2 linked regions of the Ovis aries genome follow. The protein of the gene in region 2 interacts with the protein of the main gene of each other region in a pairwise test. Links are inferred from orthologs where the notes say so. Each region holds a gene or a part of one and is shown on either strand. Other genes may lie near its edges.

Region 1 (5,725 bases), on a different chromosome or scaffold from region 2:
AGAAACAGAACCAAATGATTTAGTTAATACAATAAAGGTGACACTTCAAATATGTGTGAGATAGAAAGATTATCAAATAAGTGATACTCAGAAAATTAACTAGCTAATAAAAATACATTAAAAAGTCTGAATCCCAAACTCACTGCTTACTTCAAAATACTAATTCTCCATTGGGTACATGTACCACAGCTTTCTTATCCATTCATCAGCTGATGGACATCTAGGTTGCTTGCATGTCCTGGCTATTATAAACAATGGAGTATTACTCAGCCATTAAAAAGAACACATCTGAATCAGTTCTAACGAGGTGGATGAAACTGGAGCCTATTATACAGAGTGAAGTAAGCCAGAAAGAAAAACACCAATACAGTATACTAACGCATACATATGGAATTTAGAAAGATGGTAACAATAACCCTGTATGCAAGACAGCAAAAGACACAGATGTATAGAACAGTCTTTTGGATCTGTGCGAGAGGGAGAGAGTGGGATGATTTGGGAGAATGGCATTGAAACATGTATAATATCATATAAGAAATGAATTGCCAGTCTAGGTTCGATGCAGGATACAGGATGCTTGGGGTTGGTGTGCTGGGATGACCCAGAGAAATGGTATGGGGAGGGAGGTGGGAGGGGGGATTCAGGATTGGGAACACATGTACACCTGTGGTGGATTCATGTTGATGTATGGCAAAACCAATACAGTATTGTAAAGTAAAATAAAAAAATTTAAAAAATTAAAAAAGAACCAAAATACTAATTCTTGTTGGTACAAAACTTAACATGTATATTAAACCATTAAAGTACTATAAAATATAACTTCCTTCATTAACAAAATGTGTCCATCATTTTAAGGGAAAATAATAATTTATAGAACAATATTTACAGCATAGCTTCATTGATTTAAATCATTGTTTCTATAGTATATATTTTAATTAAAATTATAAAAATGAAAGGATATGCACCCAGTAAGTTTTAGTGAGACTTATATCATCTTCCTCTACCACATGTGCCTGGCACATGGCAGGCACAAAAATATAATAGTTGAATGACTAAATAAATGAACTGATGCATTGTTGGTATAATTGCAAATTGTGATAATTTTTTCTGGAGAGAAGTTTTGCACTATGTATCAAAGAGTAAAATGATCAGGCAGTTTATTTCAGGACTCTCATTTCTAGGAATTCATCATATGGCTAATTTTTACAAGTGCATAGAGTAGGTATCTGAGATAACTATTTTCTAACAGGAAAAATACGTCTACTAGTAGAGAGGTAGTATAAGTAGCTGCTGTACAATAGGAATCTGGTTAAACTACGGGAAATATTTTCATGGAATATGCATCTATTTAAAAATGAGATGTTCAACCATTTACTGTGAAAATATAGCCACAATTAATTGATAAATAAGCAGATTACAAAACACAATATGATGTCACATAGATAAAACAGCATGTGTAAACAGGCATATGTATATATTTACAAAGAAAATTCTGGAAGAAAATGCATCAAAATTCTAACAGTGGTTATCATTTGATTGTGTTTGTATTACCATTGAAATTTTCTATGCTGTATTTTTCCTTACAATACTTACATACTTTGACAATCAGGAGTAAATAATAAAAGTAAATTCATTTATAAAATAGAAATAAAAGTGTTTCCTAACTTAAAAAATACAACTAAATAAGCACAAATTCTGTAATAAAAAGGAAAGATAAGAGGTAATCTAACTTTAATACTTTTCCTCATTTGAAATGAATAATTCATCATATTTTATATTTTAATTTGTTACTTGTAGTCTATGAGCAAGTTCAGAAAAGTGAATGTGATTAATTAGGTTATTTTCTACATTAGTATTCCAAATCACCTCTGTGGATTTTTCTGCTTCCATGGAACTAACAAGATATCTTCCAAATAAAAGGCTACATCTTGTGAATTTTTATTTAAATATAGATAGGTAATTCTTGTCATTCATAAAAATGGGCTAAATATGTTCCTTACCTTTCAATGAAAAGTAAACACTGGTCTTTTTGGTTGTACCAAGGGAGTCGTTCTGTTGCAGAAAAGAATCCTGTAAATAAAAATAACAGATACCTGTTTTTAAACTTCATTTTGCAAAAGTGTATTCATCTATTACTGAACCTGTAAATCATACTTCAGTATGGCTAGAATTGTACAATGTTAGAAGGAAACTGGTGGCAGATGCCATTGTAAAGTACACCCTGACAGAGGATGCAGTTTCATCAACACATTCCCCCTCCCATCCTGCTATTCGTGAAATTAAAAGCTGCTGCCACAAAAGTATAGAATAAACCATCTGCTTTTAAATACTACTACCTAACATTTGAATGCCCGTTTATCCTTTTTATCTACAAGATTGTTAAAAGCATGGAGAAAGACTACGTGGCAAATCACCAGCAAGGACAGGGTCTATGACATGTCAGATTAAAAAGAGAAATACAGTAAAAAAAAATGGTGTAACTGACTCACGGCAACATGGGTTCGCAAACCTTGTAGATGGATATAAAACAGGCTTGCCAAACATCACAAACAGCACTTATTAAAGCTGCTACGTGGAATTCAATATGCCTGCTTTCTAGCCCCTCCCCCCTTCGCCAATAAACGACTCCCCCTTTTTACCCAGTGTAAAAATACATGCTCATAAGACATTCAGATAAAAGAAAGAGAATTTAAAAAGAAATCCATAATCATACTATCCAATGATGCCATTTGGAGCATTTTCTTCCAATTTTTTAAGAACAGCTTTTTGTCACGAGGCCCCTGACAAACCAAATGGGAATTAAGGATGAGTGGATGGGAGCGTACTCCTCTTCCCTTGTTAGGAACCATGACTAGTATTTTTACCTCATATCTAAGCTTTTTTTTTTTTTTTTGAAATTATAAAACTATAAAGACAGAATTTTAAGGGGAAAAAAGTCTTCAGTGGTGTGTGCCTCAGCAACCAAGGAGCGACTGGAAAGGAAGGCGGAGCCTAGAGGCGGCGGTGTGCTTGCGCACTTATTGGGCTGATGCATTGTCAATCAAGGTCAATCAAGTTTGTCTAGCAAATGAGGTGCGAGCTAAAGGCACACTGGGAACTAAAGGAACTGGAGGTCTGACTGCGAGGGGAGGGGGCTCAAGATGTAAGCAGTGAAGAGATCTCGGGCTCTCGCAGTGCGATATTCAGCTGCGTCACACCTCAGTCCGCCGCAGCTGCAGGTCAGAGAGGCCTTGCCTCCACCACTGTCGCCCAGGCCTCCGCTGCCGCCGCCACCTCCGGTGCAGTCACCTCGGCCCAGCCGCGCCCCGCCCAGCGCTCCTGCTGCCTTCACCGCTGCCACTTCCTCAGCCCCGGCTTCCGCCGCCACCACCCAAGCATCCGTGAGTCATTTTCTACCCATCTCTGGGCACGCGGTAGTGACCACCTAAGAGGTTTGCAGACTTGCAGAATGGCAGAAGCGGATCCTAACAGGGTCTCGGAACCTGCCGCCCAGGGGGTGGATGGAGAGATGGTAGCTATCTCGTCTAGCGATTCTGGGGACGAATCTGACAGCAGCAGCTGTAGCAGCAGCAGTAGTTGCAGTAGCAGCAGTGGCCGCAGCCCATTCTATAGACGTATAAGTGTACCTGGGCCCTCCAGAAGTGTGAGGCGGGCTCCGTCAGGTAGAAGTTTCGTGGATCAGCTGCCTCGGGCGGTTAGAAATCGTGTGCAGGCTCTCAGAAATATTCAAGACGAATGTGACAAGGTAGACGCCCTGTTCTTAAAGGCAGTTCATGATCTCGAACGAAAATATGCCGAACTCAATAGGGCTCTGTACAACCGGCGATTCCAAATCATCAATGCAGAATATGAGCCCACGGAAGAAAAATGTGAATGGAATTCGGAGGATGAGGTGTTCAGCAGCGATGAAGAGATGCAGGAAGACTCTAGTGAGATGCCTGCTTTAGAGAGTGAGGAAGAAGAGGATGACCTGGAAGCAAAACCTGAGGTCAAGGCTGAAGAAAATGTAACACCAAAAGAAAATTCCGAAGCAAAGACTGAAGAAAAAGCACAGTCCAAAGATGCTCTGGAGGCCAGGCCTGAAGTAAAAGAAGATCCAAAATAAGCCCTCCAGGCAAAGGCAGAAGATAAAGGGCAGGCTAAAGCAGCAGAGGCTAAGGCAAGGACTCCAGGAAAAGAGGCTCCAAAAAGAGTTCCTGAGGTCACGCCTAAAGATAGAGCTCTTAAAAGAGCTCGAAAAGGAAAGCCTAAAAGATAAGATCCTAAAGGCATTCCTGACTATTGGCTGACTGTGTTCAAGAATGTTGACAAGCTGGGGCCCATGATTCAGAAGTATGATGAGCCCATTCTGAACTTCTGTCTGATGTTAGCCTGAAGTTTTAAAAACCCAGCAGGCCTGTAAGTTACACATTTGAATTTTGCTTTCTACCCAATCCATACTTCAAGAATGAGGTGCTGACCAAGAGATATATAATAAAGTCAAAGCCAGATCACAATGATCCCTTCTTCTCTTGGGACTGGGAAATCCAAGATTGCAAAGGCTGTAAGATTGGAGAAGAGGAAAGGATGTTACAATGACAACCACCCAGAGTTGCACAGCAGCTACTGGACAAGTTGAAACCCAGCCAAGAGTGGTTCCTGATGCATCATTCTTCAATATCTTTAGCCCTCCTGAGATTCCTACTATCGGAAAGCTTGAACCACGAGAAGATGCTATCCTTGATGAAGATTTTGAAATTGGTCAAACTTTGCATGATAACGTCATCCTGAAATCAATCTATTACTATACAAGAGAAGTCAATGGTACCTATGAGTCCATAAAGACTATGGAAATAGGAAATAACGAAAATATAAAAGAGGCTGCATGAAAGAATTTTCAGGAATCTCAAATTTCAAGCAGAAATGAAACAGGTTTATATAGCCTTGAAAAAACCTGCCCTGTAATCTCAACACTAGTATTCCTCATAGTCTTGAGTTTTTGTACTTTCTTCATAGCCTAAAATATTGTCTTAAATTGTCTTAAATTCTATCTAGCCTGTTGTTGTGTAATATTCTTCAAAACGTGTAACTTGCTGTCAGTTGTCTAAAGCATGTTGTTTGGTGCTACAAGGTTCTAATTTTTGTGAAATTTTTTGTTGTGTTCCTATTACAATATAGCTGTGAAAACTGTAAGAATTGTTAACCAAGACAATATTTCCTTGAAATAAAACAAAGTTCCTGAAATATCAATGCAAGTGTTTTTTTTTTTTTTTTTTTTTCCCAGACTGGAAGACTAAGGCTTTAAATCTGCTTTGTACTAGCTGTGCTTTCATTTGCTACAGAAATACAATATTATACTATCTTGAACAGTGCATTGTGAAATTTGACTGCTTGAAAAAAGATTACCATACATTTAATAATGTCCATCAAACCATGTATGATATGACTGAGCATGTTAATGTGACATAGTGATTTATAAATTTAAGGATAATGAAGTTACTGTTTACTACTGAGGTGTTAATATAACATAGCATTTTTTTAAAAATTCTGCTCATCTTATCCTGTGTAACTGTGAACTAAAGGTACTAACCACATTTTCTTTGTAATATGTTCTATTTTGCCTTTCACTGGAAATGATCACTTTATATCATTTGGTATTTATTTTTCATGTTCTATTGCAACCTAAAATAAAGAAATGTCAAATAAAGTGTATCATGCTATAAAAATCTACAATATTTGCCTCATT
Region 2 (5,819 bases):
GAACAGATTGTCTTCATGGGCCCTTATGGGGTTCTAGAATGGCATGACAAGTTCTCCTTCCCAAATCCAAAAGCATATAGATCACTTCTGTTGCCTGGCAATGCCAGAGGCCTAGGTCCTAGCCTTTAGTTGAATTATGGTGGTTAATCTGACAAGTTCAAAAGGGAGTTCCTAAACACATGCTGTAAGGAGATGCTAAACTGAGGCCCTTTAAAATTGCACACAGAAATTTGTCTGTTGGGTTATGTGCAGTTTTAGGGGAAAAGGATCCCTACTTTTGTCAGCTTTCCAGAGAGGAGACAGGACCTGCTCACTGGGGTCTCTGGAACGGATCTCAGTAGGAAGATTGGGTGCTCACATTTTTCTTATCTGCCTGTCCCTTCTTCCGTTCTTTGTTTGCCATGATCACCCCAGTGCGAAGGGTTTCAAACACAGGGTCATTGCGATTGGCAGAAGCTAGTTGGAATGGGAGAAGAAAAGAGCTATTAGTGGGGAGGCAGAAAAAGTCTTGGAGGAAAGAGAAACCACCTAAGTAAGGGAGAGATGGGATTGAGTAATAGATACCCGAGTGTGTGTGTTTAGAATTAGAAAAGTGTCAGCTGGGAATACCTAGATCATCAATTTATAAAGAACTCTAAAGACATCACTGGAAGTATGATGGAGAAAAATATTTACCAGTGCTCCTTCCAGGCCAAGCATTGTATGTTGTTAGAAAGACAACTCTACTAATAAGTTGCTTGGGAGCTGGGGAATGCTCAGAATCACTCTTTTCAAGGAGAGTGGGTCCTTTGTGTAACGGTTGGCTTTTATTCCTCTGAGTGGCATGTGCAAGCTGGGGTACTACCAGCAGTGGGTTCTTCATTTTTTCCATCCATGCTCCTCACAGAGAGTTCAGCCTCTTCTCCAGATAAAGGTTGAGCAAATTATCAATGAATACATTTTTAAGGGGTGCCAAATTATGAATCTTCCCAGGATGCCCACAGCTCTTTATCTGGCCCTGAGTCTGGCATTATTTTGTAATAAGGGGATGAGGAGAGTGTAGTTCATGGTTACAAATGGCTTTGCATAGAAAGAGCACAGAGTTTGAGTTCAGGCAGATGAAAGTTTCAGTCTCTTCCTTACCATATAGAGCTAAATCTTATCTCCCCCAGCCATAAAACACGGGGATACTGACTTTGTATCCAAGATGGCTGAAACACTAGATTGAGTGAAAACGATGGGAAATAGAATCTTTCTGTTTCAGAATTTGGCTTCCAAATCTGGAGACAGTGCTGAAAGCACCTCTAGGCTTTCCCACTCCCTCAGGTTCCGTACGGGGCACTTACAGAGATCTTTGACACAAGCGTACTGCTGGTTGCTGTAGAGTGGAGAGCTATAGGCCCGATGGAAACCAGGGGGCTGTAGGATTGGATGGGAGACAACATTAGCGATACCAGGCAGGGCCCAGAACCCTGTCTCTCCCACGTGTGTGTGCCCCTTCTTGGAGTGAGAGATGGGCTGAGGAAGAAAAAGCAGGGAAATGGGTGGGGTGACTTGAGGAGGGACTGGCAAAGGAGGAAGCTGGCCATATGTGCCCTGCCTTCTACTTTCTTGCTCCCCAGAGCCTACTCACGATCTTGCCGAAGCATCTCTGCATCTCCACGTAGGACTGGCAGTGTTCGTGGATGTTGGTTTTGCAGTTCTTACAGCGAAGCCCAAATTTGTTGTTGACTTGGGAGATGGAGAGAATGCTGGGTGAGGCTCCTGGTTTCCCTCCCCCTTTGAAAGGCTGCTGCTGCTCTAGCTCCCCGGTCCCTTTTCTGTCTGGGAGCCCACACTGTCTCTAAGTATTTTCCTAGAGCCAGATCTTGCCACAGCCTGTCTGATCAGACAAATACTTCTCTCCTAAACCCTTTCCCCCACCCCTGCCTTCAACAGCACTCTCTCCACTTCCCTTCGTGACTCACGCACAATCATCCGGGCACAGACATCACAGAACTTGGGCTTCTTGAAGAAATGATCTTTGAATTTGTGAGGTTTATCATTAACAAGCTTAGGAGGCTCTGGGGGTGGCTCCTCCTCCTCCTCCTCTTCTTCCTCCTCTTCCTCATAGATGTAGTAGATGGGCCCACCTCCAGCTCCCACTGCCTCCCCATTGGCCTGGGGCTCTGGGGGAAGCTCCATCTCCTTTGTCCCTGTAGACTCCTTCCTGAATAACTGTTTCAGCCGCTGTAGCTGAGGGAGGGAGATCCAGTGTTGAAAGAACTGTCTTGCCTTCTAGAGTAGGTAAGGCTGAGGCTATCTCTACATTTTTCTACCTGGGACAAGGGCCACACTCCGGGATTAGGGGGTGTGGGGGCTGCAGGTGCTATGGAGCATTTTAACAGTAAGTGAGATTTTAACATATACAAGTGAGATCAATTCAAGCACTTTTCTTCAAGAGCTGCAGGGGCTCCCCAGCTTCCCACCCCCGGTGGTCAGAGGCCCAGACTCACCCCACCTTTCCGAGTCTCTGATGGAAAAGAGGAGGACTCCAGCACCTCCTTTTCTGTCATCCTGCAAGAAGTTGGACCCACCATGAAATCTCATCCCCAGCTGCCATTCTTCCCTCCCTTATTCCTGTCCCTTGTAGTAGGGTGGTCCTTGAAGGGGAGGCTTTGTGAGAAATTTGGTTAAAAAGAGATCCTTTCACAAGATTTATGAGCAGGGAGGGCCAGAGAAAAGCCCAGCAGACTAAAGAACTTCCCAACCAACTCCTCAAATCAGTAAGCATCCTTCTGCCCTGAGGGACAACCCAAGTTTACAGCCCCAAGGCTGCATGGTTTAGGGATTTTCCTACAGATACTTTGTTTCTCCTGAAAACCTGGGGCAACAGAAATGTGACACACACACCTCCCTAGATCCTCTTTCAAAAGGTTTAATGTGTGTGTCCACAAACATGCGTGGAGGGATGGGCTGAGCACAGTTGTTCTCCTCTAGCTCTCCCATGAGCCCTGGGGGCCCAGTGCCTAGTTCCCAGCCTGCCTCAGCCTTTAGCTATTTTAAGTTTTCAGAGTAATATGAGCCTTTCCTTCCCTTACTGCTCCATTCTCCTGATCCCACCCCCACCCCACCCTCCAATCCTAGCTCTTGTCCTGGAGTAGCATAATAAATTCACTCCTAAAACCCAAACTACTCACAAACAAGGAGAGAAATGAAGAAGCTGAATAGACTATGGATTGGGGAAGCTTGGGTGAGCAATCCTGGAAATGGAAAGAGGATGAAGAGGCAACTTACGTTTGGGATTCCCTAAGTCAGTTCACAGCCTGCAGAGGAAAGAGGGAGCCCCTGTGATCTTGATGGTGGTGTTCGGGGAAGGCTGGTCGTCTTCCTTGGGGGCTAAGCCCCCCCAGTACCCTCTGTACTCACACCGGCTACCCAGACGGTGTTTGTAGACCTCCTAGCCTCTTGCCTTGGTGTCAGAGCTGAAATGACAGGGCTAGAGGGAAGTGGACAGCTGAGCGACACAGCTGACACAGAGAAATTGGACACGGGGCGGGCTGGACCCTAACTCCTCCCACCCCCCCGAGTGCTGTTGCCCAGGTTTTCATCTATGGTGTGCAGGTCAGAACTGGCTAAATTCAGGAAGGCACAGTCCATACTGCATACTCATGTGGATCAATTTTTTTTTTTTTTGGTTGCTCCATATTACTTGTGGAATCTTAGTTCCCTGACTAGGAATCGAACCTGGGCCCAGTGAAAGCTCAGAATCCTAACCACTGGACTGCCAAGGAATTCACTCAAGAGAGTGACTTTAAATAACTAAAGGTAAAGATGAATTATAAGCAGCCTTCTTCGTCCCCTTATCCCAAGATCCAAACACCTCCCCAGTTTTACTCTCTCTGGAATCTAGCTTTCAACCTCTCAGCCACTGTCTTCTTGTGGCCACGTGTTTTTATACCCTCGAGCACTGATCTAGCCTCCAATCTTTAGGAAGGAAAGGGCTTGGAAACTGGTGAAGAAAGGAAAATTTGATTGCTTTTCTATCCACAGGAAGCTGGAAGAGTGCCTTGCTGCTATTCTGTGAGGGAGTGAAGAACCTGTGGTACTGCTTTGTTCCCTGCAGTAGCCCTCAGAGATATCTGTCCCCTATCCCCCGAAAATCTTGTCCTTGGGGTGAACAGAATTCTAAAAGCTATTTTAAAAAGCCAGGCTGGGACTTCCATTTGAGAGGTTCTGGGGGAGTGAGGGTCTAATGATCACATAGAGATTGTTCTGTTAATGTTGGACAGAAAGCAACAGCTGTCACACAGGGAGTCTGTCATCTGTAAGTAATGTGCCCTTTCCCATCTGCAAACTCTAAGAGGTGGGATGGCCAAGCCCCAAGCTTCCCTCGTCATTCTGATTCCCTGATTCCACCTCCTTCCTCTGCTGCCCTGGCATATGAACCAAGGGGTCAAATATATATCTGGCAGCCTTATCTCACAGGGATGCAGCCTTTTCCTAGTCTGAGCTATGACATGGTTGAAAAAGGAGATACTCCCATCTCAGAGGAGAGTAATTTGGAGACAATAATGTCGTGTTGCTTTATCCTGTGTATCTGCAAAAAGTAAAGGATTATGTTAGAGGTTGGGTCAGACTAACTTCAGAGGAGGCTGGCTAGAGAGACACTGCTATCCACACCCCAGGGATTTCCACGGCAGTGTGCTGTCATTTCTACCTACTGCTGTTTTTTCTTTCTTTAAGGGGAGGGTGACATTGAGAAGGGGCTGCTGGATGGTTCTGGGTCAACAGGCTCTTTAACAGCCCTGGTCTGACTGGTTCAACAACAGGGTTAGCTTTGTGAAGACAGAGGAGAGTTCTATCTTATGGGCACATGACTTCTGTTCTTTGTCTTTCTTTAGTTGTACAGGACAGGGACTGCTAAGCACACCTGGGCAGTATGGCATCTTGGCACAGCACATTCAACTGGTACAGCTTTTATTTTAAGAAACATGCAATCCTGTTCCTATCAGGTAGAACCCAGCCCTCTGGCTTTGGAGTTAAAGAAATGCCCAAGTCCTCCATCCCTGAAGAGTTTTCAGGAGATGGGCATGTATGAGGCCAGCATCTTGACCCAATTTTGACCTCACTCACACCCCTCTGGCTTAGCTACCAGAACCCTAAATGAATATCACAGAATTAACAGGGTGGAAGGAACCTGGAGGTCACCTAGTTAGTCCAAGTCTCTTATTTTACTGGTAAGAACTCAGAGGTCCAGTGTCTAGCATGATGTGCTTGATAAACCACAGTTCGTGGCAGAGTCCTGTCAGAGACCCAGCCATCTATCAGAAACACTTGTTAGGAGGATGGGATGCAGGGAACTGTGTTAGGCAGATATGTGTGCATATGCCAGAGAAAGCCATCCAGCCCACACCAAACCCACCCAGCCCCCATCCACACCAGGGTGGAACAGAAAACAGGGACTGATGTCCAGCAACAGATTTTTTTTTTTTTTATATTTAAAAACAAAATCAACCTCCCCCCCCAAAGAACCCCCAACAAACAAAAAATCAGATTAAATAAAATTTACAGTGAATATACCCAGCAAACATCTGTATGTGCAATTAAATACTGTGTCTGTTACTGCGGCACAAACCTCAAACAAACAATATACAAGTGTTCTGCGGGGGGTGGAAGGAGGCCCAAGTTTAAACTCTGTGGGGTTTGGAGAGACAAGATGGGGTGAGAGAAAGGGGAAATCAATTTTGTTTTTCTTAATTCTGTCCATATAAATATATTCATAAAGACCAAAAAAGAAAAGGGAGCTTGGGATGGTAAGGAAATAGGAGAATGGGGGAGTGTGGGACCCTCCCAATTCT

What was found. The genes of interacting proteins can lie anywhere in the genome.
Region 1: the proteins of STAC3 (region 2) and FAM133A interact in binary tests that used the Homo sapiens proteins (3 or more experiments, as listed by UniProt). The two-hybrid records come from large-scale screens. The link is inferred for Ovis aries from reciprocal best matches to the Homo sapiens genes STAC3 and FAM133A.

What each region holds. Positions count from the first base shown.
Region 1 is NC_056080.1:140,887,737-140,893,461, forward strand, and holds the start of FAM133A (protein FAM133A), read right to left. Parts: upstream 3,275-5,725; 5' UTR 2,865-3,274; exon of another isoform or gene 2,714-2,864; intron 2,559-2,713; exon of another isoform or gene 2,337-2,558; intron 2,071-2,336; 5' UTR 2,001-2,070; intron 1-2,000.
Region 2 is NC_056056.1:162,370,279-162,376,097, reverse strand, and holds the start of STAC3 (SH3 and cysteine-rich domain-containing protein 3), read right to left. Parts: upstream 3,451-5,819; 5' UTR 3,256-3,450; intron 2,536-3,255; 5' UTR 2,535-2,535; coding exon 2,475-2,534; exon of another isoform or gene 2,215-2,474; coding exon 1,947-2,214; exon of another isoform or gene 1,711-1,946; coding exon 1,613-1,710; exon of another isoform or gene 1,399-1,612; coding exon 1,326-1,398; exon of another isoform or gene 457-1,325; coding exon 359-456; exon of another isoform or gene 1-358. UniProt on the Homo sapiens protein: Required for normal excitation-contraction coupling in skeletal muscle and for normal muscle contraction in response to membrane depolarization. Required for normal Ca(2+) release from the sarcplasmic reticulum, which ultimately leads to muscle contraction.